Saccharomyces cerevisiae S288C: one gene and its partners. Changing the gene in region 2 together with the main gene of any one other region gives a genetic interaction. Each region holds a gene or a part of one and is shown on either strand. Other genes may lie near its edges.

Evidence for each region.
Region 1: mutations in GAL80 (region 2) and GAL4 together harm fitness less than expected from each alone (positive genetic interaction), as found in Saccharomyces cerevisiae (3 studies listed by BioGRID, with this or other methods).
Region 3: of GAL80 (region 2) and MIG1, changing one enhances a phenotype caused by changing the other (phenotypic enhancement), as found in Saccharomyces cerevisiae (3 studies listed by BioGRID, with this or other methods).
Region 4: mutations in GAL80 (region 2) and GAL2 together harm fitness less than expected from each alone (positive genetic interaction), as found in Saccharomyces cerevisiae (one study listed by BioGRID).

Annotation. Positions count from the first base shown.
Region 1 is NC_001148.4:78,631-85,639, reverse strand, and holds GAL4 (galactose-responsive transcription factor GAL4), read left to right. Parts: upstream 1-3,283; coding exon 3,284-5,929; downstream 5,930-7,009. Other genes in the region: YPL245W (uncharacterized protein), read right to left, coding at 1-54; putative rhomboid protease RBD2, read left to right, coding at 343-1,131; YPL247C (uncharacterized protein), read left to right, coding at 1,444-3,015; GTPase-activating protein GYP5, read left to right, coding at 6,287-7,009. UniProt on the Saccharomyces cerevisiae protein: This protein is a positive regulator for the gene expression of the galactose-induced genes such as GAL1, GAL2, GAL7, GAL10, and MEL1 which code for the enzymes used to convert galactose to glucose.
Region 2 is NC_001145.3:168,965-174,380, reverse strand, and holds GAL80 (transcription regulator GAL80), read right to left. Parts: upstream 2,788-5,416; coding exon 1,480-2,787; downstream 1-1,479. Other genes in the region: U2 snRNP complex subunit RSE1, read left to right, coding at 1-161; AIM32 (Aim32p), read right to left, coding at 307-1,242; SUR7 (Sur7p), read right to left, coding at 3,071-3,979; YML053C (uncharacterized protein), read left to right, coding at 4,627-5,265. UniProt on the Saccharomyces cerevisiae protein: This protein is a negative regulator for the gene expression of the lactose/galactose metabolic genes. It binds to GAL4 and so blocks transcriptional activation by it, in the absence of an inducing sugar.
Region 3 is NC_001139.9:430,095-435,694, forward strand, and holds MIG1 (transcription factor MIG1), read right to left. Parts: upstream 2,969-5,600; coding exon 1,454-2,968; downstream 1-1,453. Other genes in the region: VIR1 (Vir1p), read left to right, coding at 1-1,236; YGL034C (uncharacterized protein), read right to left, coding at 3,120-3,485; HOP2 (Hop2p), read left to right, coding at 5,531-5,585. UniProt on the Saccharomyces cerevisiae protein: Involved in glucose repression of the SUC, GAL and MAL genes as well as of the CAT8 gene. Binds to two sites in the upstream region of SUC2.
Region 4 is NC_001144.5:287,802-293,523, reverse strand, and holds GAL2 (galactose permease GAL2), read right to left. Parts: upstream 3,313-5,722; coding exon 1,588-3,312; downstream 1-1,587. Other genes in the region: SRL2 (Srl2p), read left to right, coding at 1-1,130; EMP46 (Emp46p), read right to left, coding at 4,274-5,608. UniProt on the Saccharomyces cerevisiae protein: GAL2 is a facilitated diffusion transporter required for both the high-affinity galactokinase-dependent and low-affinity galactokinase-independent galactose transport processes.

The DNA of each region.
Region 1 (7,009 bases), on a different chromosome or scaffold from region 2:
TCTCTTCACGCTTCTCACATTGCGGGAAATAGCTTTTGAAGTAGGCCCATGCATTTTATATGGTTCTAATGGAAGTTAAATGCTACTACCGGGTCGCCAAGAAAGATGCGATGCCATGCTGCATACATATGCATAGATTGTTTATATATGGCGATGGCTGCTTTTATGATTTCTCGAGAAAATTTTTCACTTTTTTCGGCCCTTTGAGATCTAAAGCCTCTTTTTTTTTTTTTTTTTGAACTGCATCGATACAAGAAGAATAGGGGGATGGGAAAGGCTTAATTGGAAGCACTGAGAACAGCAATTCACTCTGGTTGTTAGGTTGTGCTATTTGGTCGTGCTATGAATTGGAAGTCGTACGTTTTTCCCGGTGGTCATCCACCAGCTGCGTTGACCACAGGCCTTGTGGTATTTCTAACCGCTATTTACCTGTTAAGTTTTATTTTTGCCCTAAGGGAAGACCTGTCGTTGGCGCCAGAGTCATTGTTCAAACTGCAAATGAGCAGGCTATCGCTTTATCCTTTAATTCACCTATCATTGCCTCATTTACTGTTCAATGTGCTAGCCATCTGGGCACCCTTGAATCTCTTCGAAGAAACGCATGGGACTGTGTACACAGGTGTTTTTTTGAACCTGAGTGCTCTATTTGCCGGAATTCTGTACTGTTTGTTGGGTAAGTTGCTATATCCAGAAGCATTAGTTGCAGGCGCCAGTGGGTGGTGTTTCACCTTATTCGCATACTATAGTTTTAAAGAATCACAGATCCGCCCTAGAACAAGGATCTTTCGCACAGACTACTCAATTCCGACATTATATACACCCCTAGTACTATTAGTCGCAATTGCCGTCGTTATACCTGGCTCCAGTTTCTGGGGTCATTTTTTCGGCTTATGTGTCGGTTACGCCATAGGCTACAAGGAATCGTGGTTTAACAAGATCACTCCACCAGGATGGATCATCACCAAAATCGAAAAAAGTTTAGACGGTTTAATTCGATTAATACCTTGGGGAATTAAGTATTACAGAGATGAGGATATCGACAGAACTAAAGATTACGAACCGTTAATGTCCACAGAAACACCATTGCCTCTCCACAATGACAACTCCGGCACTGTCCTAGGGACTGCCTAGACATTTGTATCGCTATTCTTTCTTTCACAGTTTAAGGATGTATATAAATGTAGTATATATCATTTTATATTCTAATATGCAAGAATTTTCAGTCTCTTCTTTTTCCTTAGCGTGCGTTTATGAAAAAAAATGGAATATGAATAATTACTGGGAGGAAGACCAGGGGCAAGGGGTGAACCATCTTGTCATCTGAAATCTTGTATAAATAATTTAGTAATCAGTTCTTTAGGTTTTCGAGAGTGGCATACAACCTAAAGGGTCAACAGACAACAAGAAGGAAAGGAATTATAGGAGCAAATACACGCCCTTCAAATGGATCCCTTTCACAATGGCAATAAAAGGAGCTCAATATCGTTTGGCTCATCGCAGCGGCAGCCATATAACAAGAACAATTACTTGAGTGGTACTAATGGGCCTTCCTCGGCGGCACAAGATCAAGGTAGAGGCCCATCTCCCTTTGGAATGTCTGGCAACACTACCAATGGCGGTAACAGCAAAAGGAATAGTGGCTGTGACCTAAGTGCCACGTACTATGCAAGTCGATCGCCGATGTATTCACCGTTAGATTTCTCGCCACCAGTTTTTTCACCAAATCATTCTCAGTTACAGCAGGCGAGGGGCTATGCTGCAAATATTCCGGTTGTAAGCAATCTGATGAACCCTTCCATGGCCTCCGTGTGCGAATATCAATCACACTATCCACTCTTTGGGCTCGATTGGAGCGCCGACGACTACGTCTGCTTGGGTTCGTACAAAGAGGACAGCAGAAATAAGTTGCAGGTTCTGCACTCTAATGATCTACTGAGCTGGGAAAGCGTAGTGGACGCAGATGTGGTTTATCCTGTGAGCAAAATCCAATGGGTCCCCTCTCAATTGTATCCAAGGAAACTCGCGACGTGTTCTGACTCCTTACGGATTTGGAGCGTTAGCCCTGAGGAAAGACAGTTCCAAGAACAAATAAATCTATCTCTGTGTAAATACAATAGACAGCACCCCGCCAATCCCGCGGCCGCAGATGACATGAAGGTCATAGGCACTTTCCCACCAATAACATCATTTGACTGGAACACGGTCGATACTAACTTGATAATCTCAAGTTCCATCGACACCACATGCATTGTATGGGATCTGCAAAGCAGTCACTACGTTAAGACCCAATTGATCGCTCACGACAGCGAAGTTTTTGATGTAAGGTTTTTGACAAAATCGACCCAATTATTTGCTAGTTGTGGTGGGGACGGTAGTGTACGAGTATTTGATTTAAGATCGCTTGCGCACAGTACAATTATTTACGAGCCTCCCTCTTCCTCAGTGTCTGGAGCCACTGCGGGTACTATAACACCGTCGTCGAAAGGTTCGGACGCCTTATTGAGGCTGGAGCCATCACCGTATGACCCAAATGTGTTGGCCACTTTTGCAGCTGACTCGAACAAAATCATTATTCTAGATATGAGGAACCCAGAATCCCCTATACTAAACTTACAAGGCCACGGTTCTTCGGTAAACGGGATTAAATGGCATCCCACAAAGCGCAATGTTTTGCTCTCGTGCGGAGATGACTGCCAGGTGCTCTATTGGGACTTGAACAGCTCCTTTATGGAAATTAACGCTGCAGGTAGCAAATCCCCCAGTATTCATGGAACTTCCTTGGAGGACCCTGACGGCGACACAGAGATGACAGACGGTGGCGCAGGATCCGGTTTAAACGAGGATCCCTTAAGTTTAAACAACAACAGCAAGCAGGTGTGCAAGACACTAGAGACTCCTAACATGATGTATGCCAATAAAACACAAGAGATAAACAACATTGCATGGAGGCCCCAGAGGGGCGATTGGTTTGGGTGCGTGAGCGGCAAGAAGTTTCAAAACGTCCGCGTCCTTTGAGACAGCATTCGCCCAGTATTTTTTTTATTCTACAAACCTTCTATAATTTCAAAGTATTTACATAATTCTGTATCAGTTTAATCACCATAATATCGTTTTCTTTGTTTAGTGCAATTAATTTTTCCTATTGTTACTTCGGGCCTTTTTCTGTTTTATGAGCTATTTTTTCCGTCATCCTTCCCCAGATTTTCAGCTTCATCTCCAGATTGTGTCTACGTAATGCACGCCATCATTTTAAGAGAGGACAGAGAAGCAAGCCTCCTGAAAGATGAAGCTACTGTCTTCTATCGAACAAGCATGCGATATTTGCCGACTTAAAAAGCTCAAGTGCTCCAAAGAAAAACCGAAGTGCGCCAAGTGTCTGAAGAACAACTGGGAGTGTCGCTACTCTCCCAAAACCAAAAGGTCTCCGCTGACTAGGGCACATCTGACAGAAGTGGAATCAAGGCTAGAAAGACTGGAACAGCTATTTCTACTGATTTTTCCTCGAGAAGACCTTGACATGATTTTGAAAATGGATTCTTTACAGGATATAAAAGCATTGTTAACAGGATTATTTGTACAAGATAATGTGAATAAAGATGCCGTCACAGATAGATTGGCTTCAGTGGAGACTGATATGCCTCTAACATTGAGACAGCATAGAATAAGTGCGACATCATCATCGGAAGAGAGTAGTAACAAAGGTCAAAGACAGTTGACTGTATCGATTGACTCGGCAGCTCATCATGATAACTCCACAATTCCGTTGGATTTTATGCCCAGGGATGCTCTTCATGGATTTGATTGGTCTGAAGAGGATGACATGTCGGATGGCTTGCCCTTCCTGAAAACGGACCCCAACAATAATGGGTTCTTTGGCGACGGTTCTCTCTTATGTATTCTTCGATCTATTGGCTTTAAACCGGAAAATTACACGAACTCTAACGTTAACAGGCTCCCGACCATGATTACGGATAGATACACGTTGGCTTCTAGATCCACAACATCCCGTTTACTTCAAAGTTATCTCAATAATTTTCACCCCTACTGCCCTATCGTGCACTCACCGACGCTAATGATGTTGTATAATAACCAGATTGAAATCGCGTCGAAGGATCAATGGCAAATCCTTTTTAACTGCATATTAGCCATTGGAGCCTGGTGTATAGAGGGGGAATCTACTGATATAGATGTTTTTTACTATCAAAATGCTAAATCTCATTTGACGAGCAAGGTCTTCGAGTCAGGTTCCATAATTTTGGTGACAGCCCTACATCTTCTGTCGCGATATACACAGTGGAGGCAGAAAACAAATACTAGCTATAATTTTCACAGCTTTTCCATAAGAATGGCCATATCATTGGGCTTGAATAGGGACCTCCCCTCGTCCTTCAGTGATAGCAGCATTCTGGAACAAAGACGCCGAATTTGGTGGTCTGTCTACTCTTGGGAGATCCAATTGTCCCTGCTTTATGGTCGATCCATCCAGCTTTCTCAGAATACAATCTCCTTCCCTTCTTCTGTCGACGATGTGCAGCGTACCACAACAGGTCCCACCATATATCATGGCATCATTGAAACAGCAAGGCTCTTACAAGTTTTCACAAAAATCTATGAACTAGACAAAACAGTAACTGCAGAAAAAAGTCCTATATGTGCAAAAAAATGCTTGATGATTTGTAATGAGATTGAGGAGGTTTCGAGACAGGCACCAAAGTTTTTACAAATGGATATTTCCACCACCGCTCTAACCAATTTGTTGAAGGAACACCCTTGGCTATCCTTTACAAGATTCGAACTGAAGTGGAAACAGTTGTCTCTTATCATTTATGTATTAAGAGATTTTTTCACTAATTTTACCCAGAAAAAGTCACAACTAGAACAGGATCAAAATGATCATCAAAGTTATGAAGTTAAACGATGCTCCATCATGTTAAGCGATGCAGCACAAAGAACTGTTATGTCTGTAAGTAGCTATATGGACAATCATAATGTCACCCCATATTTTGCCTGGAATTGTTCTTATTACTTGTTCAATGCAGTCCTAGTACCCATAAAGACTCTACTCTCAAACTCAAAATCGAATGCTGAGAATAACGAGACCGCACAATTATTACAACAAATTAACACTGTTCTGATGCTATTAAAAAAACTGGCCACTTTTAAAATCCAGACTTGTGAAAAATACATTCAAGTACTGGAAGAGGTATGTGCGCCGTTTCTGTTATCACAGTGTGCAATCCCATTACCGCATATCAGTTATAACAATAGTAATGGTAGCGCCATTAAAAATATTGTCGGTTCTGCAACTATCGCCCAATACCCTACTCTTCCGGAGGAAAATGTCAACAATATCAGTGTTAAATATGTTTCTCCTGGCTCAGTAGGGCCTTCACCTGTGCCATTGAAATCAGGAGCAAGTTTCAGTGATCTAGTCAAGCTGTTATCTAACCGTCCACCCTCTCGTAACTCTCCAGTGACAATACCAAGAAGCACACCTTCGCATCGCTCAGTCACGCCTTTTCTAGGGCAACAGCAACAGCTGCAATCATTAGTGCCACTGACCCCGTCTGCTTTGTTTGGTGGCGCCAATTTTAATCAAAGTGGGAATATTGCTGATAGCTCATTGTCCTTCACTTTCACTAACAGTAGCAACGGTCCGAACCTCATAACAACTCAAACAAATTCTCAAGCGCTTTCACAACCAATTGCCTCCTCTAACGTTCATGATAACTTCATGAATAATGAAATCACGGCTAGTAAAATTGATGATGGTAATAATTCAAAACCACTGTCACCTGGTTGGACGGACCAAACTGCGTATAACGCGTTTGGAATCACTACAGGGATGTTTAATACCACTACAATGGATGATGTATATAACTATCTATTCGATGATGAAGATACCCCACCAAACCCAAAAAAAGAGTAAAATGAATCGTAGATACTGAAAAACCCCGCAAGTTCACTTCAACTGTGCATCGTGCACCATCTCAATTTCTTTCATTTATACATCGTTTTGCCTTCTTTTATGTAACTATACTCCTCTAAGTTTCAATCTTGGCCATGTAACCTCTGATCTATAGAATTTTTTAAATGACTAGAATTAATGCCCATCTTTTTTTTGGACCTAAATTCTTCATGAAAATATATTACGAGGGCTTATTCAGAAGCTTCGCTCATATAACGAAAAAAAAGGGTTTGGATCGAACGTAATTGAGATTGATTAGTTAATACTCAAAATAAAACAGCTCCTACCACCAGTGTAAAGTAGAACGTTAATAGAGCAATGTCTTCAGACAAATCTATTGAGAAAAATACAGATACGATCGCCTCTGAAGTTCACGAAGGTGATAATCATTCGAATAATTTGGGTTCAATGGAGGAAGAGATAAAATCAACGCCATCAGACCAATATGAAGAGATAGCTATAATTCCAACTGAGCCCCTCCATTCGGACAAAGAACTAAATGACAAGCAACAAAGTTTAGGCCATGAAGCACCCACAAATGTATCAAGAGAAGAACCTATTGGGATCTCTGGTGATGAAGACACCCAAATCACTGAACAAAACGTTAATGAACAAAGGCAAGAAACGAGAGAACCTAGTTCTGAAATTGATTTAAATGAGCCATTGGATGTTGAAAAAGATGTGACAACGGATGTGCAAGCCCCAAATGGGCTGAATATTGAAAAAGAATATGATGCAGTCAAAGAGAATGAGAAGGTTTACGCTGATACGAAAGAGGTTGTTAGTAGTCCAGAAAATAGGGAAGTAACTGGAAAAAATTCTGGAGGTGAGAAATCATCCTCGAGTAAATTTCTCGATGACGAATCTGGTACTACGACAGCTGCAAATGCGAACGACATTTCTATAAGTAGTGAAGTAACCCCAGAAAGGTCGTCAGAAAATGATAATAACCAGATTCATATTACCAATGAGGTAGCCGCAGGAATAAACTTGAATGAAAACAAGGAACAAAAAGCTGCTATAGAAGATGGGCCCGTAACA
Region 2 (5,416 bases):
GCTATTATGCCCCTGTACGTAAAGTTATTGATGGTGATTTATGTGAAAATTTCCTGAGACTTTCCTTGAATGAGCAGGAATTTTTGGCCAAAAATTTAAAGAGTGTACAAGTGGAGGATATAATTCAAACAATCAACGAAGTCAGAACAAATTACATGTAATGATTTTACAGTAATAATACCAAGTATAAAGGCGTGTTAATGTATTTTCTTAATAAATATATGTACAAGGAATATATGATAGCTTTAAATATAAGAAATATAAAATTTCACCTCATCTTTATTTCTGTTTTAAAAGGAAACCGTTTTAATTCATCGATATGCCACCTCTGTACATTTCGTCGATGATTTTACCGTTTTCCAAGTTTTCACATAACAGCTTCAAGTTGTGTGGGTAAACTTTACCAAACCATAATGAATCCAGCTTGTTTTGCATCTTTTCTCTGCCGAATAGTTTATAGAAAATGACATTACCAGCAAAAATATGACCCCCAATATGAGAAATTAAGGCTAGATTATTCTCAGGAAAAAGCTTTTCATCTTGAAATGCTGCAATTATGTCGGGTCCCATTTCTCCACACTTAGCATCTCTCTTATAATGCCCACAGACTAAGTTCCAATCTCTTAGAAAAGTTTCACCCTGAAACCTTGTAAGCTTTCTATGATGCACTTCATGAACCTGTTGGGAAGCCTTGGCCTTACCGCTTAAATAATCCTGGAAGGATAGCTTTGGTGCTTGAATAGCTCCTTCATCTAAAAAAGATGCAAATTCCTCGATGTCCGTTTCCTTAATTACATAAAGCTTCATGTCAGGAATAACAAAAAAATAAAGCCATTCATCGTGTTGTTTTGGCCTTGGAATAAATTCATTTTGCAAATGCACCGCATTTATTAGTATTCCTGGAGAACCACCTAAATGGGAGCGCAATTTACTAATGGCATTATATGGCCGATTTGTATTAGTATCCAAATTATGATTCCATGCTACCTTCCATGGTTGAGCAAACCTATCACCCGGTGATAACAGCAAAACATGCTTATTGTAATTGGGCGTTCTATGAGGAAGCTTGATATGAGGATCTAATGGATCAGTTTTTGAAGGCAGCCTTGCGTTTATTTCTTGGCAATAACAGTTTGTTTGATCATTTTGAGCACGGGTATGAAGATCAGGAACGCTAATATGTTTGAAGCTATGATGGAAGGATGCCCGCTGCTGCAAAGTTTTGACAGTTATACGTAGCATTTTATTTTTTGTGTCAGTGCACCTTCTCTCACTTTTCTACTAAGGAAATTTGATATTTCAAATGTAGTATGCTAATAAATAAGAACACCCGCATGCACGAAAAAGGGAAATTTAAAACTAGTTAGGTAAACAAAGTTCAGAACAAGAAATGATATGGTTGTTTTACATAGATATATACTCAGTATTCGTTTTTATAACGTTCGCTGCACTGGGGGCCAAGCACAGGGCAAGATGCTTTTATAAACTATAATGCGAGATATTGCTAACGTTTAATGTGGAGCCCATCATGTTACTTTTATAAACGCTCTCGATTAACCTGTGTAATATCAGAGCATCCATCAAGGTGGGAAAGCCTTCGAAATCGAAACCTTGCATTACAAATTGTGAGGGTAATTCAGGAATTTTCTTTGTATTGAAGTGGAAGTCAGAGATAGATTGATACAGTCGATGAATATTACCCACAATGGCATTATAATTTCGTAAATGATATACTTCCATGATTTCTTTACCTGCATCATACCCCGGGTCTAAAGGAGCTTGTTGTCCATTGGCTAGCGGGAAGTCGTTTGCTCTAGTTCCACTGTAGTAAAGGACCAGATTTGAAATTTCTGCGAAGCCGGCATCGCCTTCAAGTTTCAAATCTCCCTTGGTACCGTGAATGTCAATGACCAAATTTTTGGTAAATTTTTTGGTAGGTTTGCCACCTTTGAAACTGCATGACACTGGAACATTGCCATTTAACAATGTGCCTTGGAATAAAAGATGATCCGGTACTGTCTTTGGGACTCGCTGGCCCAATCGGTTACCACGCTCATCTATCAGCTCTTGCTCTGGAATATTATTGAAAACCATTGCATTTATCCTGGAAAAGTACGAACTTGTCATGTATTGTAAAATATCGATTGTGTGACCAAATGTTGTGGTTACCAGATCTACACCGTTCCCGATTTCATAGATGTATTTTGGTGATTTAACAGGCCTTTCGTAGCCGTACCAACCGCCATTTCCAGCAATCTCGATCGAATTAATGTCGCCGATATAGCCTTGAGATATTAATTCTTTTGCTCTCAAAATATATGGTGATTTACGACCTTGTAAAGAGATGATGGTTTGAACCCCACGTTCAGCAGCAGCCTTATAAATGGATTCGGCTTGATCTAGTGAACATGCAAGGGCCCATTCTACGAAAAGATACTTGAGGTTCGGATTATTTTTGGAGAATTCCAAGAGAGGCATAACAACTTCATAATGGCTGGCCACTTGGATAGCTATCACTATCATATCTATAGTGGAAGATGATGCAAATGACTCTAAAGTGGGAAAAGCAGTGGCATTACTCAATTTTAGACGCTGAATGGTGGCAATAGAAGTCTCAATTTTTGGACTGTATAAGGCAGTGATTTGAAATTGTGACGATAGTTGCAGTATGGCGGGGTAATGTGTCTTGATTGCCCATCCTTTGGCTGCGTTGAGACCGACGAATCCGACTCTTATGGGAGCTGCATTAGGCACGGTTGAGACCGAAGATCTCTTGTTGTAGTCCATGACGGGAGTGGAAAGAACGGGAAACCAACTATCGAGATTGTATACGCTGGTCGGCAAGGACCAGCAGTGATATGTGATGTATATATATTCAGGTTCAAAAAAAAAAGTTATGAGCTTTTGGTTATTATGAATGTAGCAGACATTTTGAGGTCGTTCGGGCGAGAGTGCGCCGGTAAATGAAGAAAATATAGGATATTATTAATATTAGAATTAAACTATTATATTGCAGGGGAGAGAAGAAAGGGGTATAAATATATATTACAAAGCGGAAAACTTGCGCCATTTAAACAGAGACATCGTCCGGGCGCTCGTGTGATTTTCTTATAGTGAAGAAGTTAATACCTTTAGGTTGGTTTTCCGTAGCAGCAGTGGCAGTGACCGGATTAGCATTGGAAGAAGGCCCCACTATGCTTGCACTTTGTTGCATGTCTTCAGGTCCAGTGGCAGTCAATATTGGGTCAGTTGCTTGCTCCTTCTCTCTATGGAAGGGATTCCATCTGGAGGAGGTTCTGTATCTTGAATTGTCGATGGAGTAAGTAGAGGCCAACCTTGCCCTAACAGACCAGAAGACCAGCAGGATAAATTCCACGATACATAAAAAGACACTTGCCCAAGCCATACCCATCATAGAGGCACCCAATTGGGCACTACGATGATCGTCATGGAAAGCATTCTTTGCCATGGCAGAGGCGGCCGTTTGCAAGACAACGGCTGCCGTATTGAAGACAAACCCAAAAGACATGAGGATAAGCACCATCTCTGAAAGCATCTTCGAGCACCAAGTCAAAACGTAAAGGATAAACGACACACCTACAAAGGCAAGCGCAATCCAAAAGAAACAAAATGAAAATCTAGTCAGGTAGTAAAAAGCGTCTCTTTTGGAAATAAACTGGTGAGGGACATTGATGTGTGTGTTGAAGTTATCTACTGGGGAAATGGGGTATGCAGGTGCCAAATTGCTTGTGCAGGTATCCGACCCGTCTTTATCCTGTAGACAGGCGCCCCAAAACGTCCAACGTGTTTCATCCCCAGCATTAGGTATGCCTGTTGTATTGCCCTGCACCCAATAGAATCTGTTCACGGGGTAATGGTCCGTGGCACCAGATATAATCATCAAAATTAACAGCAAGGTATTACCTGCTAAAAACAGCAACACTACCAGACGTAGTACTATATTCCAGACCTTAACCATAGTATTGTGCGGATATGCGTTACTATACTTAGTCTCTTCAATATCTACGGGAGTCAAGAGGTATTAATAAATCTTCTTGCGTGGGTGTTGCTTGTTTGTTTGCTGTTTAAGTATCGAGGAGATGTTGAAAAATGTATCGGGGGCCTCGAGGCGACACCTGCTAATGTTTACAATTTTCCCGATTGGGGTGCTAGAGGCATACAGTGGGCTACATGGCACAGCACGGCAGTGCAGAGTGAGAAAATATGACTTCACGCTCGAGGCGAGGCCACGCTTTCGAAGCTTCGAATGCCACTACCTAGACCATTGCTGTTTTGTACCTTCACGGTCCCATTAGAGACATTTTACTTAATGCAAGATTGCCATATCCGTTGTCATGGTACCAAACAGGGTAATAATTTCTAGAAATCATGATACACGTATGACATCTGGGTAACCTAATCCATCTGGGTAACCGATTTTTCTCTCCCTTTGCTTTCTCTTTACCACTCAGCTGACTTTATTATTTTTTTTATATTTTTCATTTTGACAAAATTATATAGTTAGGAAGAATACAATAGGACTGCGACAGAAACAGATAAGGGCTCTTTTTTCTTGGGGTTGGCTGCTTTTATTCATTAATTTAAGACTCAAGTGTGCTGCGTGAAATGCTCTCATACTATGAACACAATACTGCGTTCCAAACAAACAATTGCAATTCCGGTAGCAATGCCGCCACTACATACAACAGCGACGCCAATAATGATACGATCATGAATAAAAGAAAAAATGACCATTTCGAGTTTGATACACACACTTTCTACCAAAGATCGAAGAGAACAAAACGAGATTCTGTAAGTACAAAGTTTTCGGTCGGTTCCGGGTGTGCTAATCTTAATAACAACAACAACAACATCATCATCAACAACAACAACAACAACAATAATAATAATAATAACCATAATCATAATAACAGCAATAATACTGCAACCTACAATAATATTCATTATAAAAAAAATATCGAAATATGTCCCCTGAAACCGGTTAGTATGCACCACACTATGAACAGCCGCTTACTGAACGAATCTGAATTTTATTCTGAAACAGAAGAGTACATGATTCATGGTTATTTCGGTAACACTAATCGCGACATAACAGGCACGAGTCCTACTGGAAGTGCTAGTATTATACAACACCAGTATCATCTTCTACCATCCCAAAGTATAATTGCATCACAAGCACCCGGTACTGCCATGGCCGCGTTGACTAACAACAATATCGCTAACGATTACATGGATATAGATTAATAAGAAAAAAAATAACTGCAGGAAATGAAAATGAAAATGAAATGGAAAAAAAAAAAAGAAAATTTAACCTATTTAAAATAATACAATGTATTACATATTTATCACGACTGTTTACGTATCTCTACTCAATTTACTTTAAAGGCTAAGTGCT
Region 3 (5,600 bases), on a different chromosome or scaffold from region 2:
CCACTAATTCAATCATCAGATGATCACAGTAATGAAGACAATCATGTGATAATAGAACAATACATGCAGCTTTATCTCGTTCCATTATTTACTTCATTATTATTGGCCCAACAATTAAAAGACCGAGGCCAAGAACGAGATGAAGGACATAAAGAGAAAGAGGAAAATATAAATCTCATCGGGTCTTCCTCAGTCAAGAAATTATTTTCTCAACTAATTTTTTTTAGCTCTTTGAAATTGTGTGAAAATTTGGTCATAAAGGAAAAAAATTTAGCACTATATCATTTGATCAAATTCGCGACAAAGGTTTCTCTGGATGATTTGATTTTACAAAAAATATCCATAAACTTATTGAATCATTTGTTCTTCCATCAAATTAGGGATGGAAGTGATGATGATAATTTAATTAAAAAGTTATGTTTAAAAAATCAACTTTCTTTCCAAGCTTTGAAAGATTACATCACATTGTGGAATGACGGTTCTGAAGTTTATAATGCATTTTATAAGGAGCTTTTCTATGAAGAGCAACCAAAGATTAAGCCAATAAAACTAACAACATCTGACTTGCTGAAATTATTCCCTGAGGATGTTCAATTTGTGATATCCACTCCACCAAATACAATAACTTCAGCATCAACAAGCGATAATTGTACATCATCACAATCAGCTGCGCAGAAAAATATTGAAAACTTTACTACGTTATCGAAGTACGATGTCTACTCGTCCACATCTTTCATACCGTCCACGTCGAAAAACACTAACACTAACGTTAGTAAGCAGCAGCAGCAGCCTCAAAACTCTACTCCATGTTCTTCCAACAGGTTTTTGTTCAACAAAAGCAGCCTAATTTCTCAGGAAAGTAATGGTAGCAACAATAACAGCGGCACACAAGGACCTGGTTCCATGAATGAGAGTTATTCTCTTGACAATTCATTCAACACAACCAATACCAATATGACGAGACAACCAACCACCTTAACTAGAGCAACCGATGCTATGACTACGGCACCTACGACACCAATTCCATACAAGAACACTAGTGGAAGCAGCAATAACAATCTATGGATTGAATCGCCCATGACAAATTTCAAGGGTTCCACCATCAGTAAAAGTACTAATAAGAGCAAAATGGTTAATACTGGTAAAAATTATATTTTAGGGGGCCACAATAAAGTTAAAAACAACAGTAGAGCTCAATCAATACATATAGATGACTTTGAAAATGAGAACAATTAATTATCTCTGCGGAAGACTAAGACAATCAAAATATGTATTCTTACTATCATAATTAAATATTTTTATCGTTATTAATTATTATTATTATTACTATTATTATTATTATTATTATTATTATTATTATTATTTATTATTTATTAATTATTAATTGTTAATATTATTAATTCTTGTCTATTGTCTTTTGATTTATCTGCACCGCCAAAAACTTGTCAGCGTATCAGTCCATGTGTGGGAAGGGCAACGGTAAACTTCTTATGGGTGGTAATGTTTCCAGTTCTTGAACTTGTGAATCCGACTGAGAAATGGGGGTTTGTTGGGTGGATATAGCAGTATTAATCATATTCACCCTTGGTGACAATAATAACGGGGTTGTACTTAACGAACTACTGGAAGCCATCATTTGATTTTGATTTTGATTTTGACTTTGGTTTGACGTATTTTGTGATTGCAGTAGGGTATGTTGCTCTTGCTGCTGTTGTTGAACGTTCAGTAATCTGTTGTTCAACTCCTTTTGGAAATCAGGAGATGATGAGGAGAAATGCAAGTGATTTTGGTTCATTACATACCCCAAAGTGTGCAAATTCGTACCACTAGTGGATCTACTTAGCATTGTCGTGGGCGTGGAAGTCTTAGATTTCTTTCTTGATTGCTCTTGCAAATAGTCTTGCTCAAGGTTATCGATACTAGAGTTAGACGGGTCCTTTAGTCCGTCTTCTTCATCCTCACCACCAGTAGTAAAATCAGAGTCAGATTCGTTGGTATTTCTTTGGCCAACCAACAAGTCGTTCAAACTTAAAACTGAACTTGGTCTCTTCAACTGTACGGAACTCTGAGTTTGTGCTCTGAGACTTCCATTGTTGTTTGGATTTGCATTGTTCAATCCTTGAAAATCCGTTAAAGATCGCGGCCTTGGTAATATAACAGTGTTGGAATAACGTGGTGAAAGAGAATTTTGTTGTTGTTGTAGTTGTTTCTGTTCAGGACCGTCTATGAAAACAGTCCTTGGCGCACTGCTAGCAATGGGCGTCATCATTTGTAGGGACGATAACGCGTTCAGTTTCAGTCTACTGCCACTATGGCTATTGCTCAACGAAGACAAAGCAGTGGAAGCGGATGAAGTTTGGTAGTTCATATTATTCAGTGCTAAAGAAGGTGGAGGCTTCACCGAGACGGGAATCTTAGCCATCGTTTTGGGAGAAGAAACCATATATGGGTCATTCCCACCACTTTCGCCGATTTCGAATTTGGTTTTTCTACCTTTTCTTGTAGAAGATCGACTTGAATTTTCTTTCGGAGCAATAGCAATAGGAATTAAAGGCGATAGGTGTTGCTGTGGTAATGGCGGTGAAAAATTTGCCGTATTTAAATCTGGTATACTGGTAGCACTAGAACTAGCACTATTTATTGGAGAGCCCACAACCTTCTTCTTTCTGCCTCTTTTACCTCGAGGGTGGGAGTTTGTATGAATTCTTCTGTGTCTCGTCAGTTCATCGCTTCTACTGAACCTTTTCACACATCCGGGGAAGTCACACGCGTGAGGCTTCTCACCTGTATGAATTCTCATGTGTCTCGTCTGATGTTCCAGTCTGTGAAAAGCTCTATGACAGATAGGACAAGCATGTGGTCTTGGCGCCTCTGACTTCGCAGCTACTTTGGACTTGCTTTTACTCTCCTTCAATAGTGACCCATCATCAACGTTAGACACTTGTGTCATTGGATATGGGCTTTGCATGGCTATGGTAGTATGTCGTCTCCACTATACTCAACTCTCGTGTAGTTACAAGCGAGCTAGAATAAATGGCTCTCTTATCTTCGAAATGCTTTACCGGGCTTTCTTACTCTCCTTTGTCTTCGTTAATGAGTACTGGGGTGAAAAAAAAGGGTTATAATAAATAAATTATCCAAGAACGACTATTCTCTTTTCTTTTTTCTGCTTGCTCTTCCCCACTTTTCTCGTCCAGCCTGTTGTAAAAATTTGTTGTTGCTTCTTTCGTATTAGTTTTTCCGAAAGAAAGCGCCGCAGGGCCTTTACCATCACTCCAGGTTTTCCCGGAGTGGGGTGGCAGTCCGCAGTCTCTCGCGAAATCAAAGGCAACAAGCAGACACGTGGAGAAAAGCCAGGAGAACTCAAGAGCTCGAACAAGTATGCTAGCAACTAAACAAGCCGGCCTACGCCACTCTGGAGTTTCTCGCGGGGCCCGGCCGCTACAGGTTTCCTGAGAAGCCATTATAATGGCAACTACATTCATCAACACTCCATAAAATCCTATCGAGTTACACTGCTAGTGTCGCAATTGCGCTTTTCTGCTGCTTAATTGTGGGCCCCAAGCTCTTATCACTTGCTACCATCCTATAAACTGTATGGAATGCCATCACAACTTTCGGAAAAATAAAGCGCTTTTTTACGCTATCAGTGGAGATATTACGAATTAGGCACAGGGAAGAAATAGATAAAAAATTCATGGGGCCAACCCCAGACGTCAATCTTCTACACGTCAAGTTTTGAAAAAAATTAAATAAAAAATAAAAAAAAAAACCGGCGCGAAGGAAACGTGCTGGCTCGCTAACTTCTAGTCTTACTGTACTGACTACCTTCCAGTCCTACTGGTTATACTGCATTGTACGGCAACTTACACACCCCACGCACTTACTTTCCTCCACAATGCCATCTAGAAAAATCGATTACCCGCTAATTTTCCGGGAAAAAGTCGATTAATGTAGGTTAGTGGCAGCTATGCTAAGCAATGATAAAGGAACCATACACGATATTTCTACAGAAGGCTATTAAATAGGGTGAAATAGGATGAAGCAACAATCAAAAATTATGAAAGCATCCGTTTTCTCGCTATTCTAATAATGGGACAGAACTGCCAATTCTTGATCTGGTGATCCATACGATTAAAATAGGGGTTCATCGCATGGAAAGTCTGTAAATCACACTTGCCTACCATAAGGAAGTCATCAATTCCCGAATTTTAAACGGGTTTCTATGAGTATTTGGAGGATGTTCATTCTTGGTAACATTACTGATGACATTCAGTGATACACTGCCTTCAAGGAAACACACGCGATAGAGGCAAAACAATGTTGCAACGGCAATTAATTTCTGTCATTGTAATGAATTTCTGCTCGTTGCTTCTAACCATATCTTGTGTAACGCTTGCGTTGATATGCAAAAATAACGAGATGGAATTTGCTGCCCTCTTTCAGCCATATGATGGCGGCAAAAACTTTGAAATTTGTGCACAGGATATAATAAGCTACTTCTTGACTCTAACGCCGTACTACAGTTTACAAAAAATGTATACAAACTCTTAGGATTGGTCAAGAAAAGTAAATGTTGTACTGCTCCAAAGATATTGCGATGCCGTGATAATTCAAAAGGGTCGACCCAGTCTATTTCACTCGCGCGATAATCGTTCGTTATCCGAAGCTGGCCAATTGATACAATTAATTGACATCAGCAGACAGCAAATGCACTTGATATACGCAGCTTAAAGCAAGGGTAAATTATCTGAAAAAGGATTGAATACAATCAAAACCTTCACATACATTGGTAGTAATATCGAGCATCGCTATTAGCAGAGTATCTCGAAGTCTACCACGGCGAAAGTTGATTTTTTATCTGAGGTGCTGATCTTCGGACGCAATGCGCAAACGTAATTCCGTAGTTTTCCCAATTATTTTATTTTTTAAATTACACGTACCAGGTAGATCACATACATATACCCAACACCTGTTATATAGTGAATTGAATTATTCGGAACATCAATAATCCTTTGCTTATAATTCTTGTTATCATCCATCTTGCATCTTTATTTAATTATATTTTGCACAATAAGCTATCTATGTGAGCTGCGTACGGTGACTCCAAACAATCTGTTAATTTCCATATAAATAACTTGTAGTCGGATCGTACAATGGCTCTATATAGGTTTGGACCGGTATGTAACCTAATATGGCTGACTCAAAACCTGCTAGATAGTTATCCAAGTGAATTTGAGTCTCGTATCCTTTATCACATTTTTACAATAGTGGCTAGCTATCTTTTTCATGTTAGGCTCACCCGGTATTCTCATGCAAGATCAAACAAAAAATGGTAAAGTTTTGGACTTTACATTGCTTACAGTTGCTTTTTTATGAAGATTCAAAAGATTATGTCCTCGGCGGCTAAATTTTCCATTAATAATATTATCCTTTTACGCGACCGAAAAAGAGAAGCGTTTTAAGAGTTGTTTCTAACAAATATTAATAATAAAGCTAACGTGAACTGACCAGGCTCTATTTGAAAGATATGGCACCGAAAAAGAAATCAAACGATAGAGCCATTCAGGCAAAAGGCTCAGAAGGTTAAGTATTTTTTT
Region 4 (5,722 bases), on a different chromosome or scaffold from region 2:
GAAAGCCCTCTGAAACGCCAAAAATGGAGGAAGAGAAATTGGAAGTAACAAATGTGAATGCGTCCTCTTCAAAAAAAGTACATAAAAGCAAAAAGAGCACTTCAAAATATGACCAAAAGAATGTATTTAGAAACTCAATGACAGGAATTGCACAAATACTGCCAACAAAACCTGTGAAAATTATAGAGCAGAATATTGATTTTGCCAATCCGAAGAGCTTCGACCTCCTGCAATCTACACATACTATTTGCTTTAATAAAAGAATTAACACTACTAATACCAAGTTGAATGTGGAAACTCATACTTCTAGTGATATTGACAACGACATATTGCACGTTGGAGCCCCCACAGACTTGGGGGGAAACAGTAATGACGAAGCGGAAACAAGGCAACTAAGGAAGTTTCGATGGTCCAATAATAAAGAAAAAAGTCTTTGTGAAAAGTTAACAGTCATATATTGGGCCCTCTTGCTCCACACAACAAAGAGAGCAAGTAAAAGGAGACCTATATTATGTCATCAAATGATAGCTGAGTTTTTTAACAGAGTTTATAAGGAGAAATCAAGAGTACCTATAACTTCAAGATATATTAGAGATAACCTCGTCGCTTGGGTCACTCAAGGAAAGGAATTGCATGAAAAAGGTTGGGTAGGGGATGCCAAAACTGGCGATTTGCAAGAACAGTTCAATATAGCCACTGTCAAATTATATGAAAGCGCAGAAGACGGGCGTCTTTCCATTGGTAAAGACAAACCCTTTCGAGAGGAAAACACCGGCAGTGATAGTTTGGTTCGAGCGGAAGAGGACTCTACCGCTGTCACTAATGAAAATGGACATATTTCTTCAGAAAAAAACTTGAAAAAAGATCGTAGAGAGTCTATAAGGAACCAAATCCTGACTTTAGACCTAAATGACGAAGATTTTTTCCAAAATGTAATGAAAGTTTTATCAGCCATTGATGAACCAGAACTGAGACAATATGTAATCGTAATCTCAGAATTAGTTAGCATGGAAATGGATGATGGTAAAACGGTACGAGAAAAGCTCCGAGACGTTGAATTGAATATTAATAGGTTGCAGGTTGATATAAAAGAAATAAAGGAAATGCTTGTTACACTGATAAACAAATGACTGAAAAAAGCAACTCCTGGATCGTTCGAACATTCTCACTCCATTAATTGTATGTTAGCTCAGGAATTCAACTGGAAGAAAGTCCAGGCAAGTACCTGACTTATTTTCTAGAGGACCCCCCAGAGATAAGTCTGGTGATGTGGTCCTTTAATAATTTCATAGGGACAATTCATTTTGCGTTTTTAATTTTGCTCGGTGAACAAAGGATGGCAGAGCATGTTATCGTTTTCTTTTTTTTTTCCTGTTTTAGAGAAAAAGGTTATATATGTAATAATACTCTGATATATGTACACAAATAATAGGTTTAGGTAAGGAATTTATATAATCGTAAGGATATCATTGATAAGGGAAATTTTTTTTTTTTTTTTTCAAACAAATACTATGATAATTAAAATGAAGAAAAAACGTCAGTCATGAAAAATTAAGAGAGATGATGGAGCGTCTCACTTCAAACGCATTATTCTAGCATGGCCTTGTACCACGGTTTGTCGTCATGTTGTAAATCCTCTAAATCGTAATTATTACCTCTTCTGGATGAAGGAATCCAGCCTTCAGATTTCCAAGGTAAAACACCTTCTTCCCATAATTCTTGAATTTCTTCTAACGATAGGCCTTTAGTTTCTGGAACAAAGAAAAAGACATAAAAAAACATGGCAACCAAACAGCCCATGAAGACATAACCGTAGTAGAAGTTAATGGCAGATGTGATGAATGGGGTGAAAAATGCAATCAAGAACCCCCATACCCAATTGGAAGCAGAGGCCAACGCCATACATTTCGACTTGACTCTCAGTGGGAATGATTCTGCTGTGATGACCCAGGCAACTGGCGCCCAGGTTGTGGCATAACAGAAAATATAAAAACAGGTAAAGACAATCATACAGTTACCGGCACCTTTAGAAGATGGCTGGCTTTTACCGTGAGGATATAATCTAGTAACACCAACAGAGGCGTAGATGACCATACAAGCCATCATAGTGGCAGCGCCCAAAAGTAAACATTTACGATGTCCCAAGTTTTCGACAGTCCACAAACTAAAGAAAGTGGAGGCAAAGTTGACTACACCAATGACAATGGATGTTTCAAAGGAATCATCCAGGCCAACTGACTTGAAAATAACGGTACCGTAGTAGAAAAAATAATTGTTACCGGTTAATTGTTGGAACATTTGAACAAACACACCCATCAACAAACGTTGAAATACTTTGGTCTTGGTGGAAAATAATTCCCCCCAGGACGCATTGCCAGCCAGTTTTTCAGCTTCTATACCGGCCATGATCAGATCTAACTCTGCCTGGACGGCAGGATCCTCTGGTGACACCTTGTTAGACTTAGCAATGGAACGCTTGGCGTCTTCTACCTTATTCACCTCACATAAATAACGTGGGGATTCAGGAACTAACGTCAAAGCGCCAATCATAAATAATGACCAAGCGAAACATAGCCCTAATGGAACTCTCCATTGAACTGAGTTCGAATAGCTCTTTGTACCGTAATTAGTACAGTAGCCCAAAAAGATACCTGCAGTAATCATCAGCTGATAACAAGAAACTAGTGTGCCTCTCAAGTGCTTTGGAGCAATTTCAGAGATCAACATAGGACATAAGACGGCGATGCCGCCGACACCCAAACCAGATATGATTCTACCAATGAAATATTGGTACCACTTGTTGATAGAGGCAATTTGAATGATAATACCAACTATATAAACCGAGACGACAATCGAAAGACCCTTTTTACGGCCATACATATCTCCACCTTTGGAAAGTATAATACCACCAAAGGCACAGCCAATATTGAAAATGGCGACGATTAAACCTGTTCTGACGTTTGACAAATAGTGGGTACCATCCTTATGTTTCATACCAAACCTTCTCAAAAAGTCTGTTTGGACAACAAACCCAGAAATAGTACCGGTATCCCAGCCAAACATGAAGCCGCCGAAGGCAACACACAAACAAAGCAAGGAAACGGTAACATATTCAGACATGGGCTTCTTGGGTATCTCTATAGGAACACTTTGGGAGCCTTCAGACCCTGACTCACCGGCTTTCAATTCATCATTAGAATACTTTTGAGATTGTGCGCTTAAATGGGAATCTTTACTGAGTGAAGAGATCACGTCTTCACCAGCTTGGGGTTGCTGTGAAACAACAGGCATATTGTTCTCCTCAACTGCCATTATGAAAGAATTATTTTTTTTATTATGTTAATCTTGTGTTTACTTAACTATTACTATTCTTGATGATAATTGAATAAGGTGCATAATGAAGAGCAATTCACAACACCAAATTTTCAATCCAATTACTGATTGTTTATATATGTCTACAAAACTTATCCTATCTCCACATTTTAGCCTGCGAAATGTTTGTTTTTTGAACAATAGCTCTCCAGAATGTTGTATAATTTAAGAATATGTGCACAGTTAACTTTCTAGCAGGAGTATAATGCCATTTGCTCCCCATCTTGAGATGGGAAGGGCTTAACTAATCTCGGTTCGGAGTGATCCGCCCCGATACTGCCTTCTGCCTTAATATCGTCCAAGGCACATGGACCCCTGAACGGCGCAGATATCTCCGCACGGACGAAAGACCGCCGGTGCCTTCCTGAGGCAACCGCCCCTTTCGAATATAGATCACGTGACCCATTTTTAGCTACTAATAGAAAAAGAAATTGCAACCTACTTAAGCCATTCCGGAAGGAAGCTTTCCGAATTGACGTTGAGTACCTTTTGTGAAAAGATTCTACCGCATTTAATTGGAGTTTGATGCAAAGTAGTTGCCAGTTACAAGTTGAGTGCGGCTACCTGATATTTTCTAGTCCTATATTGCTGTGATCTGAATCTGGAAAGTTCCCCTGGTCCGTAAACCTCCTTGGATTAGTACAGCCCGTTATGCTCAGTAAATGTAATAGATGTGCCTTCTGCAGCGAAACTGGTATTGTAGGAGACATATTACTGTCGTCTTGGAAGCAAAATTAATGTTTTGCTGCTTTTACTGTCGCGTTTAACAGTTGATTTTCCCAAAAAAAAAAAAAGAAGTTAACAGCATCTATATAAAGAAGGATATAGATAACATGCACATTTTCGTATGTAATAGTTATGTTTCTTATATCTTGTACCCATATAACAAAGACACAAGAGCTTACAGAAGTTTGACCTTCTTGATGTCTTGGTTAATTCTAAACATGTAGTACGCCAATGTGATCATAATGAAAATCAGCAGTGCCAACCATACACTTATTTTGGAAAATATCTCATCATGACCTTTGGTCTGCTTGCCATACAGCTTGGCATCTTGTCGAATTTTTTCTTGTTCTTTTATCAATCTGTCCAGGTTTGCGTTCATCGAAAGAAAATCTTGGAAACTATCGTCACTTATGGCTGTTTTCTTCAGATCTAACAGTGGTCTTAAACGTTGAATCAGTTCACGTTCATTCTCCACAATCTTGTTCATCTTGCGGAGTAATGGATCGATATCATTTGCCATGATTTTCCCCTCCAACTTGTTCATCTTTTCGAAAAGCTCGTTACTCGTTATACTTTCTTCCTTATCAGAAAATGGCATCTTTTCCCTGAAACTCTCTTCACCAGTTTGAGAATTGATCACTTTAGTAACCACTCTGGGTTGTCCCATAGGATTCACGTTAGGAATTAGCGAATCCTCTATAACTCCGTCATAAAGCTTCATTTTCAAGATTTCAAACGATTCTTTGGATGCATCGTTGATAGCACTTGTTCCAATCCTAAATGGGCTGCTGCCCATAAATTTAACTTTCCTTGTCTGGAAACACACTCTGTTGTCCATTTGCAACTTTAACAAGTGATTATCTAGTGGATTGTAAGTCAATCTTAATGTTGATGGTACCATGGAATCCTGGTATTGGAACAGACATGACGCAAAGTACGGTGAGGATTCAATATCAAGATCTTTTGTTCCGTCATTCAAATACGCTGTCACGCTCTCTCCCAACTTATCGTCTAATCGTAACAATATCATCAAACCATTAAACTTCTTCGAACTTCCACCAAATAACTCGGTACTATCTCCCTCATTTCCTTGCTTCAGCCAAAATGCAAGACCCCCCTTTGTGCTGCCTCTGAACCCGAAACTTCTAAACGTCCACTCTATTGTCATTGCATCCTTTATTGAATATTCAGGTTTCAACCAAAGTGAACCCTTTGTGTTCTTTCCAGGAGTTAAAACAAACCTCCCTTCTTCAAGTTTTACTTTGTCACCCAAAGTCCATTGTGAAAGTTCTTTTTGCTGATCTGTCACTTCTAGCAAATTTGGTAGCGAGTATCCTTTATTCCATTTCAATTCATCCTTCTGCGTCACTTTTCCGTGTACCATCCACACACACATATATAACCATATCAGTCCATTAATGAAATTCATCTTCTTTTGCTTAGTTCCAGCTTTTGTTCCTGTGATTTTCCCTAAAAGCTGAAGAGAGGAAGCTGTCTTTCTTGTAGTCATCCTCCCCTAACTCGCTTTGACGAAATACTACAATGAAATATGCTATTATTCTGAAGACAGAAAACCAGAATAAAAGAATACGGTAAGGAAAAGTTAAAAATCCTGTTAATGTTG